Linked DNA regions of Arabidopsis thaliana. The main gene of each other region encodes a partner of the protein of the gene in region 2 in a complex. Each region holds a gene or a part of one and is shown on either strand. Other genes may lie near its edges.

Region 1 (4,342 bases), about 19 Mb from region 2:
TTTTAAAGTACTTTTTAAAATTTAGATTTTGTTTATTCGGATTTTAAAAATCTTTTTTCATGTGTTTATTTTTTAAAATTATATTATTTAATGGATACTAAATTTATATAATGATATGAAATCTAACCGGATTTTGGATCCAGCAATAGTCGTTAGCGATTCCAAACATTCAACTTGTTTTTCCTATTATTATGTAGATTAAACATTCAAGGTTTTACTTCGCATTTTTTAAAATAGTTTTAATATTATTTTTTTGGATGCTAAATTTACATAATGATATGAATACTAACCGGATTTTGGATCCAACATTAGTCGTTAGCGATTCCAAACATTCAACTTGTTTTCATATTATTATGTAGATTTAACATTCAAGATTTTTATTTGGATTTTTAAAAATAGTTTTTAAAATTTTGATTTTGTTTATTGTCGGATTTTAAAAATCTTTTGTGTTTGTTTGTTTGTTTTTAAATTTATTTGGATGCAAAATTTACATAATGATATGAATACTAACCGGATTTTGGATCTAGCATTAGTCGTTAGCGATTCCAAACATTCAAATTGTATTTCCTATTATTATGTATATTTAACATTCAAATTTTGGATCCAGCATTAAAAATTTCAGTTTTAAGTAATGACTCGATTAAGGCATGAATATTAGATTTTCCTTGCATCTGTGATCTCATTGGGAAGGTTTGTTACCAATTGAAGAGGAAGTTTTTGTTAATGGTGACTACTGTTGCTTATGGCATTTGTATTCATTACATGTCATCTTTTTCATGTTGAAGAAGATATTCAGTAGCAAAAAAAAATAACGAGAAATATTTCAAATTAGAAAGTTTTGTAGCATAACAGAGTTGATAGAAGCGAAAACAAGAATCTGTAAAGCCTCCTCTGGTTTTGGGATGAAGAAACTACAGAAACCTGAGAAGAAAAAACTCTCTGCGCTTGGCGATAATGGAACAGTGGTGGAGCTTCTATTTTTGCAGCTGTATTCTCTTGTCCCTGATAGGCAGATCAAGCGGTTTCTGGGCCTCGTGAGGATGGTCAGGGCCTTTGTACACCTTCAGGTGATTGAACAGAGCTCTCCCAAGCTGCCACAAAATGGTCAGACCAAAGTTAAGAGGGAGTTGGAAAACTAGTAATCAATCAATACCAATATCGCAACAAGTAGTTTCCAAGTTCAATCCATAAGTTTGAAGAAACACGGATTTGCTAAGTGTTAAGACTTAAAGGAGACTAATAAAGAGCTGTGGATTATGTATCTAACCCGTCCCTTTGGAAGCATTCCACGAACAGCATGCTCAACGATTCTTTCAGGAATTCTCTGCTGCAATTGATCAAATGTCTCTACTGTCATACCACCAGGTCGTCCTGAATGCCTCCTGTACAGCTTTTGGTTACGCTTCTTTCCAGATACAGCAACTTTCTCAGCATTCACCTTTAACCAAACAATTGAAAACAGTATTAGAGGTACCAAGTTACAAGCATTGCCCAAACATCTACATAGAGGCTCTACATCTTGCTGCTAATGTGAATCTTACTAAAACCAAATCCCAAGGCTCCTCCTTCAGGAAGAAATTAACTAAAGCAGCACATCAAATTTCTTATTCTCTACAGATAGCTCAAAGAAACTCATACCACAATCACAAAAGCTCCCATGTCGACACTAGGAGTGTAAGAGGCAAGATTCTTCCCACGGATGTGATTAGCAATTGTCGATGCCAATCTACCAAGAATTTTGTCAGTTGCATCAACCACAAACCAGGGCTTGTCCGTGTTCACATGGTCTGAAGCTTTTGGATACCATGTCGTGTTCCAGATGTCCTGTAAACCATAGAATACACTCAATAAAGGTTTCAAGCCAAAGACTTTTAACTTCTCTCCAACCAAACATTAATAATTTCATAAAACGTCCAAGTTAACAAATTCAGAAGAATAAACATCAATTTTCGAAGCCAATTGATGCAGACAACACAGCTAATGAGTCAAAGGCAAAATCCACTACTTAATAAATCGCAATTGGGAGAAGAAAAAAACAAGCCATACTTCAAATTCAAAGCAAGAGCTAAAGTGCGACACTTTATAAATGCGTAGATGCTAAACACAGAGGGAGATAGAAAAATTATCGTTACAGGGCCATTAGCTTCTTCTTCGTCGAACATCCATCGTTGATTCGCCGGAACAAGAGAAGTCGTCGTCGTCGGCTCAGCTTCACACTTCACTTGCAATCCTCTTTTCGAATTCGCATAAATGCCGACTCGTACCGACGGCTTCGAGATAGCCGTTAAAGAGAACCCTAAAAACGGAGACTTTCTCTCACTTCCGGAGGATTTCACGGAAGAAGAAGAGAGTATCACCGTCGAAGACGAGCAAAGAACCGCCATTTTTGTTTTTCTCTCTTCTGCAAATTTCTTCTGCTCTTTCCGATTTCTCGGATAAGATTGGGTTCTCAGTAAATAGTAGTAGTGGCAACACCGTAAATAATCTGATGAATACGACCGAAAAATAAACACAACACGGGTTAAGGATCCGGGTTTTTTTCGGAGCTCCGGATTCAACCCGAAATACTGTTTTTTTTTTCTCAATAGGAGAGAAAGGTCTTCTTCGGAAGCAAGCTAAGTCATGGCAACGATTTCGTCAACTCTACTCTTAAATTCTTCTAGATCAGCTTTACCACTAAGATTCCCAAAATTCTCGGGATTTTCTTCTTCCTCTCCATTCGCTAGATCTTACAGATTTGGACGACGTAATCTGGAACCACTTTCCAACGGAATGCTTTCGTCGGGAAGTAGAGCCGACGGTGCTACGGCGGCGGCTGCATCGATGGAAGGAGTGATGACGGAGGCGATGAAACTGATTCAATCGGCGTCACCAACTTGGAAATCAGCTGTGGCTAACAATTTATTGATTTTTGTTCTCGGTTCACCGCTTCTTGTTACCGGATTGTCCGCTTCTGGGATCGCCGCCGCGTTTTTGCTTGGTACTTTAACTTGGAGAGCTTATGGCTCTGCTGGTTTCCTCTTAGTCGCTGCTTACTTCGTCATAGTAAGTGCATTTGTGATCAACCTGAATGTAATTCGGTAACTGACTCTTAGAACGTAGAAATTCGCTGCTTTGATTTTGATTTCGAGCTGATGAATGAAGAATGTCCTTAGATTTTAGATGTGTTATTGTTTAATTTAGGAATTGTGGACGTGTTAGAGATCCTAAATCACGTTTACAGATTAAGGAGCTACTTTTTCTGATCATGCTCAACATTGAGATACTTAGTCTTTTCTCTGCAATGCTTTAAGTTTTAGATTTCAATATCGTGTTTCACCCCAGAGCTGGAAATAGTAACAGTAAATTTGCAATTGATTCTGGCGCTGAAGTTGGTTTAGATGATTTACAATATCACAGGGAACAGCGGCAACGAAGGTTAAAATGACGCAAAAGGAAGCACAAGGTGTGGCCGAAAAGAGAAAGGGTAGAAGAGGACCACGCAGTGTGATTGGTTCAAGTGCTGCTGGTTGTGTCTGTGCTTTTCTTTCAATATATCAAGTGGGAGGAGCAGCTTTTTCCCAGCTTTTCCGGCTTGGTTTTGTTTCCAGTTTCTGCACTAAAGTATCTGACACTGTCTCGAGCGAGATAGGCAAAGCTTATGGAAAAACAACGTGAGTATGCTACTGTTATCCAGCTATAGCCTCTTCTGTTATGGTCTGTGTCTGTTTTCTGTCTGATGTATGGCATGGACTTGTGGTGTCATGACATGAATCCAATCGACAACTGAAATGATCTTACTAACCATTGCCAATTCGCAGGTATTTAGCTACGACATTTAAGATTGTACCAAGAGGAACAGAGGGAGCTATGAGTCTTGAAGGAACATTGGCTGGACTTTTAGCATCATTTTTTCTTGCATCTGTTGGCTGCTTCCTGGGTCAGGTAATAGTGTTATTTGCTACCAAAATTTCCCTTCACAGCTTCTTTATGCTACTAAAGACTGTTATCATTACACGATTTTTAAACTTCTTTTCCTTTTGATATCTTGAACACAGATAACTCCTCCAGAAGCAGCTGTATGTGTACTAGCTTCCCAGATTGCCAATCTTGGAGAGAGCATAATAGGTGCTTCTTTTCAAGACAAAGAAGGATTCAAATGGGTATGCTCACTTCAATGAACTCTCTTCTTTTTGTTTTATTGATCTCACTCTGTCTACTTGTTGTCAATGCAAGAAGATGATAATCAAATGAATATACCGTCACTTCTTGCAGAAAGACTGATAGATAACTGGCTTGAGTGGAAAACGATTTCCATTCAATACAGAATTTTGAAGTTTTCGTCTTATGAATCCATTCCTTG
Region 2 (4,530 bases):
CAATATGCAATAGAAATGGAATTCTCATGCCATCTCGTCCTAAGATCCTACTCACGGCTTTTACTAGCTACTAGCTAGTCCATCACATCATACACCTTTTAAACATAATAACGTATGTGAATTATGTTATGACCGGAGACTTTCCTTCCTATGAAGAGTTTGATGAGTAGAGGAGTGACACGGATCGAATATTTGATAAATAGCTCATTCATCTAGATAGGTTTAAAACTTTAGACTATTACATTGTAGACAAAAAAAAAAAAAAAAAAAAAAAAGGATACAGAGGCCTTTTATCGGCCCACCTTAAAAAAAGAGAGCTACAGAGGCCTTTTATAGACCCACTTTAAAAAACAAAGATATATGAATTTGAGATAAGAAACCTTATTTCAAACAAGAGAATAGTTTATTTTGTCCCACATCGTTTAGGTAGAGATAGTGATGGTAGTAACATGCCTATAAAAAAGAAAGAGCTAATTACGTAAAAGGCATGATCCTTCAGGCAAGTTAAAGGGGATATGATGAATGGTAAAAACTCGCTTATATTGCGAGAAGAGCGTTCCGCCCAAAGCCTGTTACGACTATTGGGCGCTCTCTTTTTTACACAATCTGATCCCTCCCTAATTTCCAATAAGAAGGAACTTTTCTTTTTTAGTTTTGGTTTCATTTTTCTTAACTAGTTTGTTTTTGGTGCAGTTTTCTTTTTAAGGGGAATATAATTTAGGGTTAGTACTTAAAAGTAATTGTTAGGTTGAAATAAAACTAGTAAATGAAAGTAAAATCCTTCAGGGATTGAACCCCAAACTATATACATCAACTTTCAGCAACCATTAACACTACTTGGAATCTGAACAATTCTTACACACCAGAATTATCCTGGTGGCCAGAAGAGATCTTTAAGTAATTATGGCTTTGAAGTTGAGACTTCGAGTAGTAACAAATTCAATGAAGCAAGTAGTATAGTAGTACATGTGATGAATTCCAAGAACATTGATTTATAAACGAATCAAGGATGCAAGAGAGTTAAAACGCAGAAAAGAGCTCAACGAACCATGTTTCTCATTGTATCTTCTGGTGGAAAAAAAGCACATGAAACAAGATTACAGATAGAGTGAAGAGAGAAACAAACTTCAAGCCCGTTTGCCGCTGCTAGGGTTGGACTTGGGACAGAGGTTCCAACGTCCCTTGGCACGTCGACGCTTTATGGTTGCTCTACCGCTAGTGGTCCTCATCCTTCTACGGAAACCATGAGTCCTAGCTAGAGATTTTCTTGATCTGCTTCTCTTAGTTTGACACAGAGCAGCTTTTCCAGCTCTAACCACAAGGCCTCTGCGTCTCTGGCCATTCAGTCCACTAGTTTGACTGCTGAGATCAAACGCAATGGACAAACCTGAAAAGACAGCAACACCATTTTGATCAATGTGACATTATAGGTTTGATAGTGTATCAAGCTGATAATATTGGAACCGGTAAACTCCTTCCTTTAATTACCCAAAGAACTCACCATACAATACCAAACTCTCAACACACTGCTCAGAATCAAGACCCAGACAAATCCAAAATGACTTTAATGCATTCTCCTAGGTTACCCTTTTAACTCTTGAGCTATAACCATAACGTCTGTTGCTAAATTGGCAAAGCTTATAATTCACTGCTCAAATCTTAGCCTAGCTACAATGGTCGTACAATATACTTTACAAGAAAATTATGATCAAAGGAGGAGGAACAAGTTCATGTGACATATTGAAGCAAATCTATAACCATTGTACCTAAATAATCGACATGAGCTAAAAGATTTTTGTACTAAAAATCAAACAACATTTACTTGCGGCTACAAATACATGAGCTAAGATATCAGAAATTGAGGCTTAAGTTGCAAAATGTTATCTTCACTTGTTGTTATAAACTTAACAAGAAATATCAGAAACAAACAAAATGGCTTCTTTCACTCACACTCCCAAATCGAATTCACCATTGACAACTATGTTTCACAATTCCCAAATTCTTCTAAAAAAGCTTCGAATATATGTGTTTGCAAAGTAAGCTAGAGCCTAACACACGAGAATAGTGATAAATCAACCAAACCCAAAGAACCAGAAAAAAAAATCAAAATTGGGTAAAAGAACTTGATACATTACATCACCAGAAGCTAAACACAAACAATAATTCGAACCAATTTAAGATGTACCAGAAAATGGAGACGCTAGGGAAACAGGCGACGAGAGAAACGAGCAATGAAGCAATTGCGAAGAAGCGGAAGAAGTGAGAGAGGACGAACTCCGTCTACAACCCGTACGCAGAGAAAGCGAAGCAGAAGGAACGCAAATCTTGCCGTTGGAGGCAGCAGGATTCCATAAACGCGACGAAGCCGAAGCTACAACGGAAGTGGATAAGGAAGCCATTCAAGTTCCCACTTCTTATCTCCAAACCCAGTTCCTTTGTTTCTCCGGTCTCCTTTACATAGTGTGGAACCTCTATCGTCTACGGACGATACCACCATAAACTTACGCATAAGAACCAACCATAATAATACACGTATCACGACACTTCAGCCCATAAGACTATAAAAGCCCAATACTGAATTGGACCGGACGGGTAATTAATCAAGTTAAGGCCAGATTTGAACTGGTCTAAAATATCTCATGCTGTTGTTCTGTGATACAATTTTGCTTCATGTAAACTGTTAAAAACAGGCACTCTATATAACAGGTAACGAGAAGAACCACAAAATGTTTGTAATCTAGAGGATATTTTCTACAACTTATCCAACATTCATCAAGGGTTTTTTTTTGGGGGGTAACACAAGTATGCCATGAGTCTCTCTATCTATCTTTTGAACATCTTGGACCACATGTAGAGGATAAAGAAGAGGAGGAGCGCGAAAAGAACTACGTGCATTATGTGGTTGTTACCACTACGGATTATGCTTAGGTTCAGTTTCCTTATGTTGTTCTTCACCCCTGCTTGCGCTCTGATCAATGTCATTTGCTGTCACAAACAAAAACAAAATACCATTGAAGCGTTTTATGTTTCAGACAAGAACAACATTTCGTCTACTTATTTTATTTTGCTTATAACAGCACTAAATGCTTGTTTCTGCAGTCTCACTACCAAATCTAGTTGTTTGTCATTATCTTCTCTAGGATGTTCTTCTAGGTAACAAAAGAAAAAACTAGAACGAACTAAAAGCAATGAACACATTCAACACCAACATTCTCATTGACAAAGTGGCAGGAACTCAATGATAAGCTGTAACCATTTCCTGCTGCATTTCACCAAACTAGGTGAGATTGAAGATATCTAATCCTACCCACCACCAGCGTTCAGACCAGATCCTAAGTAAACATAATCTACACTTTGGATTTATCAAGATTCATTGGTTTTGTAAGCTACGGTTAAAGTTATCTAACATATGTTAGGATGAAACTATATTTTCCCAACTAATAATGAACAGAGACATCTGAAACAAGTTATAGGAAACCGATATTCGGATATACTATATATAATCAGTGATTCATCTTAAAGGTAAAGAAGAGTAAATGAATGCATGTTACTGATGTTAAGTGCTTACATTGCAATTTACTATGATGGATAAAGAAAAAACTAAAGGGACATCAACAACATACCAGTTCATCTAAGAAGTCCCTCTGAGACTTTGCTTCTGACCCAATTTCTTGAGCAATCTGCATCAAAATAAGCGATCAACGATATAACAAAAAATCATGAGGGATAAATAATGCGCAAAAGTGCAAGGTAAAACACAAGGAATTGTAGAGAATGTCGACTGATTCCTTCAAGAAGGGTGGTGATATAAAACAATAACCACAGATGTATACAAAAGACATCAGACAAGTGGATTCAACTAATTAATCGTGGACTGACTGATAAGTATTGTGAACAATAACATTATCATAGTACCCTGAACAAAAAAACACCTACACAACTAATTAACCAAGCTCTAACCACTGTCAAAACCGAAAAGAAGACAAATTTCCAAATTCATATGATCAACTTAAAGCTTAAAGAGAACAATGATCCTTCAGAACCACAAGAAGACAATACAAATGGCACTATAGATAAAAAGTAGAAAGATCGAAATGGGATTTAGAGGGTTTCTTACATTTTTCAATTGCCTGACTTGGCCATGGAGACCTAGAATCTCATCATCCAGGTCAGAGTGCATAGGATCAATCCTCAGCTGAATTTCCTCTGAACCTGAAGCATTTCTAGTGCTTAGCCCTTCTCTACAAATCACACACCAAAGATAAATACTTGTACTTTACGCAGAATTCACCAAATCTAGGACCCGTTTTCTCTATCCAGAATCGATTTCAGAAAAGGAGAAACTGATAATATTAGAAATATACCTAGATCTATACGGATCAGCTCCGCCGTATAGAGAACCACCCGCACCGCGATTGGACGCCATCGACGCGAAATCTAATGGGTGTAAGAAACCCTAAATTCGAATCTGCTGGGGTTTGAGAAATTAAGTTTTGTATTCTCTCAGAAAATTCGAGATCGAGAAATTGC
Region 3 (3,863 bases), on a different chromosome or scaffold from region 2:
CTGGAGGAGGCTAGAAAGGCAGAGCGATTTAGGGGATTTACTTAGCACACTCCAATCTTCTTTTGGAGGAGATGAAATAAGTAACGATGATGGGTTTCTATTTGCTGATACTCGCTTGCTTACAGTGTACTTTCTCATCCGCGTGTTTAGACCAGAATCGAGTGGCTCAAGGAGTAGTAGCTGGTCTGGTACATCTAGAGCTAGGACACATACAAGTGGGAGAAGAAGATCTTCAAGACCTGCAAGTCTTTGGGGAGAGAGCTATGAAGGTAATACAGGAACATCACCTAGAGATGAGGAGAATAATCAATCTTCTGATGAACAAGTGTCTGGAACTCGGAGACGTCGTTCTAGAAGAAGAACTGTCATTGATGATGATGATGAAGAAGAAGAACCGTGATGCTCTGCAGTTTGGAAATTTGGTCTTTGGAGTTTATGATAAAATGGGGGAAACCTTGTAGTAATAACCCCACTTATGAAACCCTATTATGTAAAATTTCTTTGGAGATTGAAAAAAGTTTCTACTATTGGGAAACAAAATGTTCAATATTTCATTACCGTTTAAATATCTTTTTGATAATGACTCTTCAAACAACAAAATGTAAATCTCTTCACCATACAAAAAGACAAAGGAATTGTAATTAACATTTGTCATAGACAATTATCTTCTCTGCAGCTTTACAACACTAAAAAGAGCTTGAAACTGAAGTAATTTAAGCAGAGGCTGCTGGCTCTGAAGTTGCTGCTTCTGCTGCTGCAGCTCTCTTCTTGGCAAAGTATTCATCTGCTCGTGCTTGGTTCTTTGCAACAGATGGCTTAACCCATTTCTTTCTTCCCGGCAACACAGTGAGTGTACAACCTGAAGCTTCAAGCTTCTCTTTTGCTTGTGTTGAGAAGGCACGAGCTTTGAAGGTGAGCTTCATGCTTAGTTCTCCTGTACCCAGAATCTGAAATCCAAGACCAATCAAAACGTTTAAATAAAGAAAGAAAAGACGAAAGCACAATCGAAAGAAGTAGGATCAACAAGTTTGGAAAACTAACCTTAAGAGGGAGTTTCCTTTCTCTCCCTGAAGGATTAATCAAACCCTTTTGCTTCAATGTCTCCAATGACACTTCATCTCCCTCTTGAAACCCAGCTGTTTCTATGTCTTTGATATTAACCGGTAAGTATTTAGGTAATCCTGAACGCATACCTGTTTAAAGAACACAGTAACGCAACGATGCATCAGAAATATATCTCTATTGGTTTGAGCTAATTAGCAAAATCGAACCATGAAATATCTCTATTCACTAACTACAATCTTGATCCATAGTTGTCAATTCATGGCTCTCTTACCCAATATTAAATCTATGAAACAAATGTGCCCTAACTAAATAAAACTGAAAGCAGCATCACCAAATTTAAACAGAGCCTTTTGGATGAGACATTTCATCGAACATTTGGGCTACACAAAACTTGGATACCAAACAAAAACAAAACTTTACCTCCAGCGATTCCTCTAAGTTTGGGAAGACGACGATAAAGAGCAGTTTGACCACCTTCAAAGCCTCTCATAATCCCAGGACCCGATCTTGATTTCTGACCTCTCATACCAAAACCACAACTTGCTCCTTGTCCTGCAGAGATACCTCTACCTTTTCTCTTCTGCTTCTTCCTCGAACCTGGCTGTGGTCCAAGATTATCCAAACGGAATCTCTCCGGAGCTACAACTGCCGACGACGTAGCCGCCGTTTGGCTAACCACAACAAGGGGTCTCGCAAATTGCTGTTGGTTTCTCGTTTTAAGGGTTTGGTTGAGTTTCAGAGATAGAATCTGACTTGGGTTTGCCCCCAAAACACTTACATTTCCCTGTACACATTTCAAATTCCAATTTTACGGATTCATTCAAAATTGACATTTGTAGAAGAATGAGAGATTACCTTGAATGAAGTAGAAGATAAGTGGAGACGGTAACAATGGCGGGAGGTGAGAGGATTTGATGAGATTGAGAGTGGAGTAGCCATGGTCACAGGGAACAACAGATGAAACAAAGCTTCAAGGATAAGGTTGAGGAAGATAGATAGAGAGAGATAACTTTCTTGAGAAACTTAAGAGTTAAACGACATCGTCTTACATAATCACTTAATTGTTTATTGGGCCTTTCACAGCAAATTTAGGCCTTTTCGTTTTCAATAAAAGAGTCGTTACTCGTTCGTATCAATTCGTTTGTGTCCAAAGTGGGTTTTCAGATAAGCTCATGTCTGAATTAGTCGGGATGATCAAGACACCAGTGCCAATAAAAGAAACGATAAGAAATTATAGTATTTATACTAACTTGATATATATAAACACAAATATTTATACACATAACACAATTATAAGTTCAAACTACAACCCCAAATCAACACCTGAAACTACAACCCCAAATCATTACACAATCTCAATTAACCACATAGAAAATTATATATATTGGTGAATTTTGTAACTTCCTTAATCTTTAATCTTTGCGAAGTCTTTTCTTCACGACAAGAAGAGAACAATCTGTATTTTGTGTACACCTGCATTTAATTAAAAGATGTTTGTTATCTCAACTTTTCCATCAATACTAAGTTTTTTAACTGATATTTTGAAATTAAAAGATGTTTCTTACTTTTTGAGACTTTGTTGATCGCTCGTAACTATTAAATTGATATTTCGTTCTTGAATTATCTTGCGGATTAGATCTTTAGGGTCTCCATCATCAGTAAATGTCTCTGCCTTGATCTGTTTTCAACATGATTATGATGAGATCATGAGACTAAAATATTGCAACAAATGGTTGTCATGAAAAGAACTTCATTTTTTTCTTTTAAAACTTTGGTATTTAAAAATATATATATGATATTGTATTAATAACAAGTTAAATGATTCAGTCAATAGATTATTACCCCATGATTTAAACATATCTTCTTGGCTTTCTCTAATATACCCAAAGCAATTTTCATATTCTTTTCTTGAGCCAATCTTATGAGTTCTGAATCTGCAAAACACACATAAAAACTGATCAATTTTCAACAAAAGAAAGTACTAGGTGAAAATGGATAGAAAATTTGATATTTATTGAAAACTCCCAACAAATTAGTCGATAAAATGACTTACTAGGTGAAAATGGATAGAAAATTTGAGCAAAGCCGACTGATGAAGAAAGTACGGTAGGAGGAGTAAAGGAATTTTGTGGCTGTTTTGCAAAGATATAAACTTTGGAGCTCTCAATGGTATCTTTTTGGTTTTCAAGTGCCCAAATGAGTAAATCATAACTTGCGTTGCTCTCGTCAATAATCAGCATAACATTCTTCATCTTCTCTCTTTGTTTCTTCTTCTCCTTTCTTCTTCTAGCTTCTGCTAAAACCTCTTGTCAATGTGCAACTTTATAGTATATTTGGAAGTGGATTAACTTGTCAAAGGAAGTAATATAAAAAAAAATCTTAGGTGATTGGGTAATTGAAAGGCATGGGTTAACGACTTGATTCTGGCTTCTTCTCGTTTGCAAAATAAAATAAAATTATACACACAAGTAATACTATATTAAACCCGTGTGTAGTGGCAAAGTAGGTTTGGATTAGAACCAAAAGCGTAAAATCGCTATAACTTCAAGTTCAATCCCACAATATGCAATCATTTAAAGAAATTACATAACGATTTATAGTGATTTAATCTCCATGTTATATCACTTGATCATTTAGATTTCGGTTCAGATTCTGCTTAACTTGTGATGAGTTTGCGGAAAACGTTTTACTGAAATTTTCAAAAGACTAGTCATATGCTTATTCAAATTAGGATAGAGACAATGCTAAGTCTAACAAAAAAACATTTGTATATCAAAAAAGAAAACAATCGAATAATA

What was found. The genes of interacting proteins can lie anywhere in the genome.
Region 1: AT1G29070 (region 2) and emb1473 share a complex: the UniProt entries of both Arabidopsis thaliana proteins name them as parts of the 50S ribosomal subunit.
Region 3: AT1G29070 (region 2) and RPL15 share a complex: the UniProt entries of both Arabidopsis thaliana proteins name them as parts of the 50S ribosomal subunit.

Annotation. Positions count from the first base shown.
Region 1 is NC_003070.9:29,574,039-29,578,380, reverse strand, and holds emb1473 (Ribosomal protein L13 family protein), read right to left. Parts: upstream 2,576-4,342; 5' UTR 2,385-2,575; coding exon 2,133-2,384; intron 1,825-2,132; coding exon 1,639-1,824; intron 1,439-1,638; coding exon 1,268-1,438; intron 1,092-1,267; coding exon 975-1,091; 3' UTR 501-974; downstream 1-500. Other genes in the region: AT1G78620 (integral membrane protein (Protein of unknown function DUF92, transmembrane)), read left to right, coding at 2,623-3,072, 3,400-3,653, 3,801-3,924, 4,038-4,142.
Region 2 is NC_003070.9:10,147,753-10,152,282, reverse strand, and holds AT1G29070 (Ribosomal protein L34), read right to left. Parts: upstream 2,493-4,530; 5' UTR 2,400-2,492; coding exon 2,186-2,399; intron 1,388-2,185; coding exon 1,128-1,387; 3' UTR 876-1,127; downstream 1-875. Other genes in the region: AT1G29060 (Target SNARE coiled-coil domain protein), read right to left, coding at 2,824-2,985, 3,624-3,680, 4,118-4,241, 4,365-4,426. UniProt on the Arabidopsis thaliana protein: This protein binds directly to 23S ribosomal RNA.
Region 3 is NC_003074.8:9,490,555-9,494,417, forward strand, and holds RPL15 (ribosomal protein L15), read right to left. Parts: upstream 2,102-3,863; 5' UTR 2,005-2,101; coding exon 1,921-2,004; intron 1,850-1,920; coding exon 1,486-1,849; intron 1,194-1,485; coding exon 1,042-1,193; intron 948-1,041; coding exon 714-947; 3' UTR 501-713; downstream 1-500. Other genes in the region: AT3G25910 (MAP kinase kinase kinase, putative (DUF1644)), read left to right, coding at 1-400; AT3G25930 (Adenine nucleotide alpha hydrolases-like superfamily protein), read right to left, coding at 2,478-2,538, 2,631-2,743, 2,908-2,999, 3,119-3,317.